2 linked regions of the Anolis sagrei genome follow. The main gene of each other region encodes a partner of the protein of the gene in region 2 in a complex. Links are inferred from orthologs where the notes say so. Each region holds a gene or a part of one and is shown on either strand. Other genes may lie near its edges.

Region 1 (7,095 bases), on a different chromosome or scaffold from region 2:
AGATTGAGAATATACAAAATAGATTAAAGTTCAGACATCTTACTGATGCAGCTGGATCCTCGGAACCAAGTTCATCAACACCAAATTTGATCATTCCCACATTACCCAGTTAAAAAGTTTCTTAAGCAAGCTGCATCAGTACTTAGCTGTTTTGAGTCTCCTTGTGGAGAGAAAAAGCAGGGTATAAACCAGGAGTCCTCAAACTAAGGCCCGAGGGCCGGATACGGCCCTCCAAGGTCATTTACCCAGCCTTCGCTCAGGGTCAACCTAAGTTTGAATTTATTTGAAAGCACACAACAATGACAATCCTATCTCATCAGCCAAAAGCAGGCCCACGCTTCCCATTGAAATACTAATAAGTTTATATTTGTTAACATTGTTCTTCATTTTAATTATTGTATTGTTTTAAAGTGTTTTTTGCACGACGAATAAGATATGTGCAGTGTGCATAGGAATCCATTCATGTTTTTTTCAAATTATAATCCGGCCCTCCAACAGTTTGAGGGACTGTGACCTGGCCCTCGGTTTAAAAAGTTTGAGGACCCCTAGTATAAACAAACATAATAATAAGCTATCAAGGATACACACAATGTGATTCAAACAGACATAAAAGCAATCAAGGACTGATGTATGCCCATAAGGATTCTACAAAATATGGTGATTGTGTAATATGCAATCACTAAACAACTGAAGAGAAAATTAATATTAGAAAGCAATTTTATTTTGAACTGAGTTTTAGTAACTTTCAAAAAGATAGTCAGCCAGACACATAAACTCCTTACTGAGACTATGGCCTCATCTACACTGCTATATAATGCAGTTTGAAATTGGATTATATGTCAGTATAAACTCACATAATGCAGTGCAATGAAGTTAAACCGCATTATATGAGCTGATCAGTGTAGGGTCTGAGGTTTTCAAGCTTTTCTCTTTCTCTGAACTAATATTTAATTTTCTAGCCATATTCATCTCAACAGAAAAATAAGAGACTGTCTTAAATGAACACCAGGAACACATATCTATGTAGTGACACATGTTTTGGAACTACCTGTTGTGTTTCTTGCGCCATCTTTCCATGTATCAGGTGTAATGACAGTACCCAGTTTTCTCTCACCTATTGAAAAGTGCAAAAATACAAAGCAAAGATTGTGACACTCTGAACAGTTTTATAATGAAAACACATCAGAAATGTTGTTTACCCCCCTGGCGATACTAGTAAAACAAAGTAGTTCATTCTTTCAATTCTAGTATCATACGATGCTATAATGGGATGTGAAGGATGCATAGCATGAGTGTTACTCATATTTACTCAAAAGGAAATATTATTCAGATTAGTGAATGTACTGCCAAGTTATTATACATAAGATTGCAATTCCAAACGGACTTACTTAGGAGAATACAGTCAAACATATAAAGCCCACGTCCACCTTCCATTTCTCTTCAAGCCCCTATCCCTTGTTAATATTGTATTAACAATATGTGATATTGTTATAAGAATCTCATAATGTTTTCCTGGTTTATAATAATAATAATAATAATAATAATAATATATTTGTAACCCGCCCTTTCTCCCTGAGGGGACTCAGGGCGGTTTCCATCAAAAGTGGCAAACATTCAATGCCATAATAAAACAAACAGCAAATCAATCAGCATAATAAATAAAACATCAATATAAACTAATAAAAACTAACCAATACTACCCAAAAAGAACTTAAATAAACATAATATATCACATTACACACATTTACCAACATAATACGAGTAAAACTGAGTAGCTAAAATGCATTAAAATATGGAGTGGTTAACTGCTACCAACAGGACTGAGGGAGATTTTCAGTATCTAAATGAGAGTATACAATTAAGATATACTAATCTGCCTCCACTCCATATGCTAAAGTGCATAAATAGGTTTTTAAGGGGGGCATTTTTAGTTCTTTAGGGAGGGAGTTCCAGAGTTATGAGTTACTAAAAAAATTGTGCAAATTGGAAAAGGTTCTTTCCAAGTGTATATTCAGTGAGAAATCCTTTTGGAATGTAGGGTTTATGGTTTGTTTTATTTCATGTCAAAAGCATACCACAAATAAATAAGTATAAAACTGATAAAACAAAGAGAGCACAAGCAGTTAAATCATTGTAGATCAAAACCGGGAAACAACAACCACACTGTCTGTCGATTTAAATAGTTCTTCCGCTGTGCATGAGGCGGGGCATTGTGGGCAAGCATACAGATACGGAGTTGTTTGTTCTGCTCCACAATCGCACAAAGTGGAGGATTCTTCTAGGTAGTGCCATTTTGCCAGGTTGTCTTTTGATCTACCAACTCCGCTTCAGGTAACACTATATGATCTTCTTCTTGTTGTCCGAGTAGGATTGTCTTCCAAGATCGGTGTACTGGCTGTGGGTCTATATACGCATCTCCGTTTATGAACCCACGCGTTCTCTTCGCTCATCCGGAGAAGCCCTGCTCACGATTCCACCTGCGTCGCAGGCGCGTCTGGTGGGGATGCGAGACAGGACGTTTTCTGTGGTGGCCCCCCGACTCTGGAACACCCTCCCCAAAGATATTAGACAGGCCCCTATGTTGGCAGTCTTTAGGAAGAACTTGAAGACTTGGCTGTTCCGATGTGCCTTTCCAGAATAGGAAAACTCCAACAACATGTCCCAGAAGCACTTTATTAGACTTTAAGATTGCTTGCACACTGCACTTACCGCCCTTCTCACCCCAAAGGGGATATATCTGTTTAGTGCAGGCCTGGGCAAACCTGGGCCTTCAGGGTGTTTTGGACTTCAACTCCCAACCGGTAGGCTGTTAGGAATTCTGGGAGTTGAAGTCCAAAACACCCTGAAGGCCCAAGTTTGCGCAGGCCTGGTGTACGGGCTTGAAAACTGTCTCCATTAAGACAATAACAATAACAACACTCTATTATATAGTTCTTTCACAACTATATATCCCTGTCTTTTCCACTCACACTTTTCGCAGACCATGGCGAACCCCACTCGCGAAGCCAACAGCAGCGTCTCCGACAACAATACAATCCCTTCGCACTTCCGGCTTCCTGCCTCCGCTATTCACTTCCGCCTTCGTCGTATTGGTTGAGAACGCCTAAGGGGCGGGGAGAAGGCAGGACGCAAGGCACGTAGGGCGCGCGCAGGGCGTGGAGCGCGATGACGTCAATGGCTTCTCCTCAGTGATGGTGGTGGTTGGGAAAGGGGCTTGGAGGCGCCCTCTTGGATTCGGCCCACTAAGCCCCGCCCACTAGCAGCTGAAGGCAGACAGGTGAGCTTACCCTTTCCCCTCCACTCCCTGGAACTATAGAATTAATGTACTCTTGACACCACTTGGACTGCCCTGGCTCAGTGCTACTGAATCCTGAGAGTTGTAGGCCTTTTGAAACTACAACTCCCAGGATTCTATGGCCAGTTCAAATGGTGTCCAACTGCATACATTATACAGTCTGGAAGCACCCTCTCACTGGATTTTTATTGTAATGTAATACTACTAATAATGCAACTTGTATGCAGAACACATCATGCGATGTGCGGGGCTTAACAAATGCAAGGCTGAGGTGAAAATTGCTGGAAGAAACATTAACAACCTCAGATATGCAGATGACACCACTTTGATGGCCAAAAGCGAGGAGGAGCTGAGGAGCCTTCTAATCAAGGTGAAAGAAGAAAGTGCAAAAGCTGGGTTGCAGCTAAACATAAAAAAACCCAAGATTATGGCAACAAGAATGATTGACAACTGGGAAATAGAGGGAGTAAACGTGGAGGCCGTGACAGACTTTGTATTTCTAGGTGCAAAGATTACTTCAGACGCAGACTACAGCCAGGAAATCAGGAGACACTTACTTCTTGGGAGGAGAGCAATGACCAATCTTGATAAAATAGTGAAGAGTAGAGACATCACACTGGCAACAAAGATCCGCATAGTAAAAGCAATTGTATTCCCCGTAGTCACCTACAGATGTGAGAGCTGGACCCTATATAGCAGTGGTTCTCAACCTTCCTAATGCCGTGACCCCTTAGTACAGGTCCTCATGTTGTGGTGACCCCCAACCATAACGTTATTTTCGTTGCTACTTCATAACTGTAATTTTGATACTGTTATGAATTGTAATGTAAATATCTGATATGCAGGATGTATTTTCAGTCACTGGACCAAATTTGGCACAAATACCCGATACGCCCAAAATTTGAATACTGGTGGGGTTGGGGGTGATTGATTTTGTCATTTGGTAATGCTGGAGTTGCTGGGATTTATAGTTCACCTTAAATCAAAGAGCCTTCTGAACGCCATCAATGATGGAATTAAATCAAACATGGCACACAGAATTCCCATGACCAAGAGAAAATATTGGGAAAGTCTGGTGGACATTGACCTTGAGTTTTTGGAGTTGTAGTTCACCTATATCCAGACTGTGGACTCAAGTAATGATGGATCTGGATCAAACTTGGCACAAATACTCAATATGCCCAAATGTGAACACTGGTAGAGTTTGGAGAAAATAGACTTTGACATTTGGGAGTTGTAGTTGTTGGGATTTATAGTTCACCCACAATGAAATAACATTCTGAACCCCACCAATGATAGAATTGGACCAAACTTTCCACACAGAACCCCCATGACCAACAGAAAATACTATATTTTCTGATGGTCTTTGACGACCCCTCTGACACCCCCTCGCGACCCCCACTGGGGTCCCGACCCCCAGGTTGAGAAACACTGCTATATAGGGAAGGCTGAGCGAGGGAAGATAGACGCTTTTGAACTGTGGTGTTGGAGGAAAGTGGTGAGAGTACCTTGGACAGCGAGAAGATCCAACCAGTCCAAACTTCAAGAAATAAAGCCTGACTGCTCATTGGAGGGAAGAATAGTAGAAGCCAAGTTGAAGTACTTTGGCCACATCATGAGAAGAAAGGAAAGCTTAGAGAAGACAATTATGCTGGGGAAAATGGAAGGAAAAAGGAAGAGGGGCCGACCAAGGGATGGACGGTATCCTTGAAGTGACTGGATTGAGCTGGGGGTGGTGACGACCGAGAGGGAGCTCTGACGTGGGCTGGTCCATGAAGTCACGAAGAGTCGGAAACGACTGAATGAATGAACAACAACAAAAAAATACTACTAATATACGAGGGTTGAATGAAAAGTAATGCCTCCACCTTCATAACTCAACAGATGGTAGTCATGGTATGTGGCAGGTACTGGTTTGTTCAGTAGACCCTCCCTTGCAGTTCCATTTTGGCAGGAAGCCTTAGCATTGAACGTTAAAGTGCAAAGTATGGAACCCTGCGCAGACAGTCGGTCAATGCGACTTAAGCACCATGCAGTCATTGAATTTTTGACAGCAGAAGGTGTCACCCCCAAAATGCAAGCTGTTTATGGTGATTGTGTTGATGTGAGTACTGTGCATCGTTGGGTGAATAAGTTTAAAGACCTCACTACCTCTGAGGATGCTTGCCATAGATGCAGGTGAAACGTCAGGAGAGAATGCCTCTAGACCATGGCCATATAGCCTGAAAAAACTACAACAACCCAAGTTTAAAGATGTTGAGGTGGGAACATCTGACTTGCATGACAAAGAAAGATTTGGACGTCCTGTGACAGCAACCACCGAGTTTCACAAGCAAAAGGTTGACATGTATTGTCGAAGGCTTTCATGGCCAGAATCACTAGGTTGTTGTAAGTTTTTTAGGGCTATATGGCCATGTTCTAGAGGCATTCTCTCCTGACGTTTCGCCTGCATCTATGGCAAGCATCCTCAGAGGTAGTGAGGTGACTAGAAAAGGTTGACAGATTGATTCAGGATGATTGTCATATCACTCAGAGAAAAATTTCAAGCATAATCGGCATTTCACAAGGACGTGTGGGTCACATTATTGCTTTGCTAGGCTATCGGAAGATCTGTGCACAATGGCTACCCAGAATGAGAGAATGTGAGACGCTGGTTGCGGAAACAGAGCGTCGACTTCTTCCGTGACGGCTTCAGAAATTATGTTCATCGTTGGCAGAAATGTATCCAATTGTCTGGTGATTATGTGGAAAAGTGAATAGTGGTAGTTAAAAAGCACATTCTAAGGATTATATCTGCGTTTGATTTATTAAAATATTCCCATCCAAACACAAGTAGCGAAGGTGGAGGCATTACTTTTCATCCAACCCTTGCATTATATATAATCATAATAAAAAATGAAAATGTGTATGTGTGTATGCATATAGTACAATATAATATATGGTAATGTAAAAATTGTATATCATATATTGCATATGATATTACTAATAATATTGCGCTATAGTTGTAGTACAATAAAATAATATATAATTATTTATAAATGCAATAAATAATTAAAATACTAATATTGTGCTATGCTAATAATATAATATATTAAACAACAACAACAACAACTATATTTTATCCCACCCCATCTCCCCAGAGGGACTCAGGGCATCTTACAAGACAACAATACAAACCAGTGCAGCATAAAATATACAACAAAAATTGCAACAATACAAATGTATAACAAAAGAAATAAAAGTAAGACATAACAATTGAAATTTAACATAAATAAATTGGATCAATATATGTTGTGAATTTTATGTGCTTATTGTATTTTAGGCCATCATATCTTATATTCTTTATTGTTAGATCAAATGCTAATTTTTGATTTTTAAATTATTATTATTATTATTATTATTATTATTGGATGTTATGCCCCTATCATATTTTGTGCTGTTTTGTCGTATTTTCTTTCTTATTAGGCCAAATGTTAATTTTTGTTTTTATTATTCTTATTCTTATTCTTATTAATTGTGGGTTTTGTGTTGTTAGTATATTTTGTGTTGTCTTCTCTCATGTTCCTCATGGTAAATACTTAGGAACAGTGTTGTGATTTACTTTTTGGTTTTTAAAGTTATGATGATGATGATGATGATGATGATGGATATATACATAGGTCAAAGCATGCGGGTACTGGGTATGTATGATGGTTGGCTGGTATCATAAAAGCTCCAATGTGGCTTGGTTGACCTGAACCAAACTTGGCACACATATCTTTCATTATACAAATCATTTAGGGTTTTGAACTAAAAAAAAA
Region 2 (7,885 bases):
TAGACAGCCAAACAACCACCACAGGGGTCTTAACCCTTCCCCATGCTATTTAAAGCATGTGTATTTGTGTGCACGCATGTATATGTATATGTGTGCACACACATACATATACTGTATACATATTTGGCTGGAGTTACAGTTCTGTTTCCGCTTACATACAAATTCAACTTATGAACAAATCTACAGAACCTATCATGTCTGTAACTCAGGGACTACTTGTATAGCATCAGATACTCTACAGCTGGGGTCCTCACACTTTTTAAACAGAGGGCCAGGTCACAGTCCTTCAAACTGTTGGAGGGCCAGATTATAATTTGGAAAAAAAACATGAATGAATTCCTATGCACACTGCACATATCTTATTTGTAGTGCAAAAAACATTTAAAAACAATACAATAATTAAAATGAAGAACAATTTTAACAAATATAAACGTATTAGTATCTCAGTGGGAAGTGTGGACCTGCTTTTGGCTGATGAGATAGGATTGTTGTTGTTGTATGCTTTCAAGTAGTTTCAGACTTAGGTCAACTCTGAGCGACGGCCGGGTAAATGACCTTGGAGGGCTATATCCGGCCCCCGGGCTTTAGTTTGAGAACCCCTGATCTACAGCATCACAAATATACACAATTGGCACTAGATAAGCCAGCTAATAAATGCAGTGAGCCTTCCTCCTTTAGAGGCCTTTAAACTGATGTCAGATGGGCATCTTTCAAAAGTGCTTCCGTTATGTATTGAGTGCTGCACCTTCCATGCTTAGTATTCTATGGTTCTAAGAATTTGCCATCTCGATCCAGATCTCTAGTAATAGACTTATATGTACCAATGAATTGTGTGCACTTAGCAAGTAAACTGTACTTCATGTTATAATACATTTGTTAGCCGAAAGCAATGGTATTCCCCATAGTCACCTACGGATGTGAGAGCTGGACCATAAGGAAGACTGAGCAAAGGAAAATAGATGCTTTTGAACTGTGGTGTTGGAGGAAAGAGCTGAGCGTGCCTTGGATTGCTGCTGTGTTTTTCAGTGTTTTTATGAGTGACGGTCACTTGTTGGCCTGATAGGTGTATTCTGTCCAAATTTGGTGTCAATTTGTCCAGTGAGTTATGTTAATCCCACAAACGAACATTTCATTTTTATTTATATAGATATACCCAGGGCCATATAAAGGTTTGTTGGCTGGAAAGGATTCCTCCAGTCCATCCTCCAGGAAATAAAGCCCGACTGCTCATTGGAGGGAAGGACAGTAGAGGCCAAGATGAAGTACTTTGACCACATCATGAGAAGAAAGGAAAGCTTGGAGAAGACAATGATGCTGGGGGAAACGGAAGGAAAAAGGAAGAGGGGCCGACCAAGGGCAAGATGGATGGATGGGATCCTTGAAGTGACTGGATTGACCCTGAAGGAGCTGGAGGTGGTGACGGCCAACAGGGAGCTCTGGCGTGGGCTGGTCCATGAGGTCACGAAGAGTCGGAAATGTCTGAACGAATGAACAACAACAATAGCCGAAAGCTGTCAACAACTACAATCTGAACACTAGTAAGTCTCTAAAGAGTGTAATTTTGACAGAGCCAGCCTGCCTCATTGTAACACGGTTTCTGTTCCTGGGTTATCAATGTAACCCAGCGGTGGCCGGGAGAGCTTTTGCACAACTAAAACTTGTGCGCCAGCTGTGCCCGTACCTTGGGAAGTTGGATCTGGCCACGGTGGTCCACGCTCTTGTTACATCCCGATTAGATTACTGCAACGCACTCTACGTGGGGTTGCCTTTGAAGACTGTTCTGAAACTCCAAATAGTCCAGCAGGAGGCAGCGAGATTGCTCACCGGAGCGTCATACAGGGAGCATACCACCCCCCTGTTGTGTCAGCTCCACTAGCTGGCGATCCAATTACAAGCACAATTCAAAGTGCTGGTTTTGACCTACAAAACCCTATACGGTTCCGGCCCAGTGTATCTGTCCGAACGGATCTCCCTTTACGTCCCACCTCGGAGTCTAAGATCTTCTGGGGAGGCCCTGCTCTCGACCCCGCCTCTATCACAAGTGAGGTTGGTGGGGACGAGGAGCAGGGCGTTCTCAGTGGTGGCCCCCCACCTGTGAAATTCACTCCCCAGGGAAATTAGATCAGTGTCATCCCTCCTTTCCTTTAGGAAAAAATTGAAAACATGGATTTGGGACCAGGCATTCGGATAATCTGGCAGATAAAGAAAGGACTTTGACGATGGACAGGAATTGACTAATGAATGGAATTATGGAACTCTGAAAGACGAATGCTGAGCATGAGATTAGTTTTATTGATGTGTTATATACCGACTGTTTTAACTGTGCTAATTGTTTTAATTATGGTTTTGTACGTTATGTGTATTTTGTGTCGGCATCGAATTGTGCCTTTTTGTAAGCCGCCCTGAGTCCCCCCTCGGGGGTTGAGAAGGGCGGGCTAGAAGTACTCGAAATAAATAAATAAATAAATTTCCTAATTGGGTCTATCATAAAAACATGGAAAAGATTATTAAACTGCAAAGACCTTGCACTGGGGCATCTTGCAACACATTTGCTCTAGTTTTTCAATGAATATCTCAATAGAGGATCGACCAATTCCACATAGTTTACGGCAGCCACAAAAACGAAGTTTCTGGAGTAGAACAACTACCTTCAAAGTAAGTACTGCCCATTTAAACATTGAAATAACACTGTCAAATCCTTGAATTTAACAACATTGAGACGAGGCAGTTAAAGCGGTGTCGAAGTGCGCTCATTCCACAATGTAGCTGCGCCTTGAGAGGCGCCCCCTGCTCCTAGGCCCAAGCTGGTCGAGAGCAGGAAGCCGGCCTACCTTTGCAACTCCCGTCCCTCGACGGCTGAGAGGAAGTCGGGCTCCTGCTTCGCCTCGCCGCCATCCTGCCCGGTCACCACCAAAAACCGCCTCCGCCCAGTGGTCCGAGTGAAGCCGAAAGAGACCGGGGCCGGCGGAGTGGCCGCTGACTTCTCTGCTCCTTCCGCCATCTTATTTTCCCCTGCCTTGCCCCGCCCCCATCGCCACTTACGTCGTTGCGTTGCATCATGGGAGACGAAGTTTTAGAGACTCCCGCTTCTTTATCGAAGTTCTGAAACAGAGGCGCCTGAGGACGACAACTCCCAGGATGCAATGCGGCAACAGCACTTCCTTCCGGAGCCGGCCGCACATAAGTCATGTTGCGCATGCGCTTCTTCTCTTCCACGCTTTTCTCTGCTCTCTGAAGATAACAATCGAGCACTGTCTGAATTTACACTGGTAATTATAGAGACCTTTGCTTTTTCTTATTCGGTTTGCAGATTTATAAAGAGATCATCGTTTATGGATGTCTCCACTGGATACCCGATGTCCTTCCGTTGTCTCGGTTTGTCAGGAAAACTCCTCCCATTTTTTCAGATGCTTTTAAGGCCCCCTGTCATATAATCCAGATTACCAAAGAAGATCAGCCACATTAGCTGCTTTGAACTGGATTATATGAGTCTATACAGTCTGGAAGGGGGGGGGCAGAAGACAGTTCCATCTTGTCTCCTGTGGTTTACTTATATAATATATTGTATATACATATATTTATAATATTGTAATGTAAAACAATATAATACTAATAATAATACAATATAATAATTATATATTTTATATTACATGTCATATTACTAATAAAATTACAATATAATGGTAATTATAGTATATATATTAAAATGCTCTGTGCATAATGAGTACCTTAAAAACAAAAGAACCAATTACACCAAATTTGGCAACAAAACATTTCACAACACAAAGAGTGACCATCACTCAAAAATTATGATTTTTTCATTTGGGAGTTGTAGTTGCTGGGATTTATAGTTCACCTACAATCAAAGCGCATTCTGAACTCCATCAATGATGGAATTGAACCAAACCTGGCACACAGAACTCACTTGACCAACAGAAAATATTGGAAGGGTTTAGAGGGCATTGATCTTGAGTTTGGGAGTTGCAGTTCACCTACATCCAGGGAGCACTGTGGACTCAAACGATGAAAGATCTATGCCAAATTTGGCATGAATACTCAATATGCCCAAATACGAACACAGGTGGAGTTTGGGGGAAATAGACCTTGACATTTTGGAGTTGTAGTTACTGGGATTTATAGTTCACCTACACAGAGCATTCTGAATCCCACCAACGATAGAATTGGCCAAACTTCCCACACAGAAGCCCCAGGACCAACAGAAAATACTGTGTTTTTCTTTGGTGACCCTTTTGACACCTCCTCACACACACACACACCTGGGGTCCCGACCCCCAGGTTGAGAAATGCTGCCTTAAGGCCATCCAGTCCAACTCCTTTCACCAGGGCAAGAAAATATAATCAAAGCCCTTCTGACAAAGAGCCATCCAGCCATAGATATAAATAGATAGATATGATCCACACACAGATATAGTATCATAGATTTGAAAAGGACCCCTAAAGAAGAAAAATTATATGTTGCATGTTCTACAGTAGGCAAACCAGACCATCTCCACATCAACACTGGCAAAGAAACAGCAAGAAATATTGTTTACCCACAAGCATAAAGAAATTACATATATTAGAAACCAACACTTTCCCGTTACTTTATTTTCCAGATCAGCAGACTGGGCCACAGCAACCCGTGGCAGGTGAAAGTTAGTAATATATAATACTGACATTATACTATGCTAATAATATATATTGAATGTATATATATCTTGTAAGCCGCTCTGGGTCCTCTTCAGGGTGAGGAGGGTGGCATATAAATGTCATAAATAATAAATAAATTTTCTATAGCAGTGTAGAAGGGGTAATTCCACACGGCTGTATAACCCAGAATATCAAGGCAGATAATTCACATCTGCTTTGAAATGGGTTATCAGAGTCCACACTGCCATATAATCCAGTTCAAAGCAGGTAATGTGGGATTTTATACAGCTGTGTGGAAGGGGCTTTAGCCAGTGGTCAGAGAGGTTAGGAACTTTTGTCTAGAAACACATGTTTTCCATTCCTATAGTGTGGGGGTTTGATAGGCTGTCTGCTCTGATTGTGCATGGCAAGGGGTGGACTGGATGACCCACGTGGGCTCTTCAGCTTTATTATTCCTTGAACCATCTTCACTTTTAACCAATATGGATGCCTTGATTTCATTGATTATAATAAGCCAATGCTGCTGCTCAATTCATAATTCTTGCTGACATAGTAGTCAATTGTTTTTCTTCTCTCTCACATCCAGGACATTTCATGTAAGGGAAGATGGGACGTTCCTCTAAGGACAAACGGGACATTTACTACCGCTTGGCGAAGGAGGAAGGCTGGCGAGCTCGCAGCGCCTTCAAACTTCTCCAACTGGATGAAGAATATCATTTGTTTCAAGGTGAGCCCCATCATACAATTGGAATTCATCTATCCAGAATGTGTGGGGTGAAACATTTCAGTTGTGCATGGGAGTGGTACAATCTTGCAGATGTTCTTGTACTGCAACTCTGATCAATCCTAGCCATCTTAGCCAAGGAGGACTTTTATCTGGTAGGATAAAAGTGATGGGAAGTTAAGCTGCAAGAAATAATCAAATTTACTCTGCCGAATAGCTGTCAGTTTTGGCCCTCCATATGTTTGGGACCTCAACTTCTAGATTTCCTGAAGGTCCAAAATATCTGGAGGATCAGAGTTTGAGAATCACTGGTCTAGACCACTATTCTTAAACTGTGAGTCCCAACCTCAAATGGGGTCCCCTTTAGCTCAATATTGGGATCACAAAAAAATTGGAAAAAGGTTTCTGAATGCCACCCATTTTCACAAATTTGCAGTGTTTACAGTGGACTGTGCAGAAATCACTTCAAGCTTGGCAATAGAACACTTCCTTTGAGCATATACAGAATACTGTTTGTTTGCCATGGAGATAATATTTTGGGGCTCAGAAGCAAGGCTATCATTTCGAAATTTGAGCAAACTTGGAAACCTTCCTTTTTCCCCTACTATCTTTTTTCAGGAAAGAAACCCATGAGTTGTACTTCCTAGTCTCATATTGCAGTCTTCTTGCCATGGCATCCCCTTACCTTTCTTATTCCCTCTTTTCTCTCTCTAGGTGTCTCAAGGGCTGTGGATCTCTGTGCTGCTCCTGGGAGCTGGAGCCAAGTTTTGAGCCGAAAACTGAAGTAAGCAAGTCACTTTGTTGTAGTGTTTATGGGGGACTACCACCTTATAGGAGATAACCAGAAATTCATCCTCAACACACACACACCCTTTTTTTTCTACAGAGGAGAAGGTGCTAAAAATGAAGATGTCAAAATAGTGGCTGTAGATTTGCAAGCCATGGCTCCCTTGTCTGGAGTTATTCAAATTCAGGGGGACATTACCAAGGTATTGTGTTTCCAACCCAATTCAAAATCCACCCTACCTCTCCTTGAATTTAAGGCCTACTTAATAGCAACCCTTTGGCCATTATAACCCACCCCATCACTTCTCTCCCTCTGCTTCCAGGTCTCTACAGCAGAAGAGATAATCCATCATTTTGAAGGGCAACCTGCTGACTTGGTGGTGTGTGATGGAGCTCCTGATGGTAGGTAGAAATCACAGCCATAATCTTACTGTTTCTACTTTTCCCAGGATTGTGCACCATTGGCCAGGGAGAATCTGCCATCTCTAAACAGGGTGCAGTCAGCCTCCCACATTCTCTGGGCTTAAAGGCACAGTGCCTCCCTAAATGTAAAATATCATACATGAAAAATTGTTGCTTTTATTAGCTGAGAAAACATGTCTCTAGGAATTTCTAGATCTTTCTGCTTGGTTCTTGGCTCAGCATCTGCTAGAAACTGACCATAGGATTGCACTGGAAAGCCAAGAGACCTTAGAGAAGTGTTCTTTTAAGTATTCTTCAGCGTGACTTCATGGCCTGGAGGAAGTTGACCATAGAATCACACTGGAGGACCTGGAGATTCCTAGAGAGATTTTAATGAAGTCTATAAATCAAATCCACAAAAGTCGAACCCACAAATGTGTAGCACTGACTATATTTCTCCAGTACCTTACTTCTTTCATGGCTTCTGTGCTCCTGTCATAATTGCTTATGTCTGTGTACTGCAGCCACATTCTCAGTCCACCTGGGACTTATTATTTATTTATTTATTTACTATATTTCTATACCACCCTTCTCAGCCCGAGGGCAACTCAGGGCGGTTTACAAAACTGGCACAATTCGATGCCACAATAATATAAACAGTTAAAAACATATAAACATCCATAAAATTCCATAAACAATAAAATCAATAAAACATAAATCCTCTGTATCTAATTTCCAAAATCTTTAGCCAATTGCAATTCTCCAGTTAGCTTTACAAAAAGTGAGGAATAGCTTCCTGTATTTATTTTGATGTATGTATCCTTTGCTGTTCCAGTGACAGGGCTCCATGACATTGATGAATACATTCAGGCCCAGCTGCTGCTTGCTGTGAGTATTTCCATTGTTCCTCCCTCTCTCCCAAACTCAGCCCCGTTGGATGTAGGGATTGATTTACATTATGGAATACATTTCCTTTCAAAGGGAAGCTGCCTAGATGGCAGGGAGTCTATCAGATCCACACGAGCTTAGGAAACTTACCTTTTGGAGACTAACTCCTAGACTCCCTCAGGAATCATGGCTAGTGGTCTGGTAGATGGGAAGTTCTGGGCATTGAAGTTCCCCAAAACACATTTTTCTGAATTTTAAATCTGGGAACTCTACACTGGAAAAATCCAGCTCTAGACTTTGGAGGGACCTTATCAAGGTGCATGTGCTCAGTGCTACGTGTCCTTCCTAGCATATGCATGCCAGTTTCCTGTCTGTCTGTCTGTCTGTCTATCTATCTTATCTATCTATCTATCTATCTATCTATCTATCTATCTA

What was found. The genes of interacting proteins can lie anywhere in the genome.
Region 1: GPKOW (region 2) and CRIPT share a complex: the UniProt entries of both Homo sapiens proteins name them as parts of the minor spliceosome. The link is inferred for Anolis sagrei from reciprocal best matches to the Homo sapiens genes GPKOW and CRIPT.

The regions. Positions count from the first base shown.
Region 1 is NC_090021.1:26,646,208-26,653,302, forward strand, and holds the start of CRIPT (cysteine-rich PDZ-binding protein), read right to left. Parts: upstream 3,089-7,095; 5' UTR 2,986-3,088; coding exon 2,970-2,985; intron 1,115-2,969; coding exon 1,049-1,114; intron 1-1,048. UniProt on the Homo sapiens protein: As a component of the minor spliceosome, involved in the splicing of U12-type introns in pre-mRNAs. Involved in the cytoskeletal anchoring of DLG4 in excitatory synapses.
Region 2 is NC_090022.1:179,133,986-179,141,870, forward strand, and holds the start of GPKOW (G-patch domain and KOW motifs-containing protein), read right to left. Parts: upstream 3,044-7,885; 5' UTR 3,002-3,043; coding exon 2,832-3,001; intron 1-2,831. Other genes in the region: FTSJ1 (tRNA (cytidine(32)/guanosine(34)-2'-O)-methyltransferase), read left to right, coding at 5,257-5,377, 6,089-6,158, 6,261-6,363, 6,484-6,562, 7,398-7,450. UniProt on the Homo sapiens protein: RNA-binding protein involved in pre-mRNA splicing. As a component of the minor spliceosome, involved in the splicing of U12-type introns in pre-mRNAs.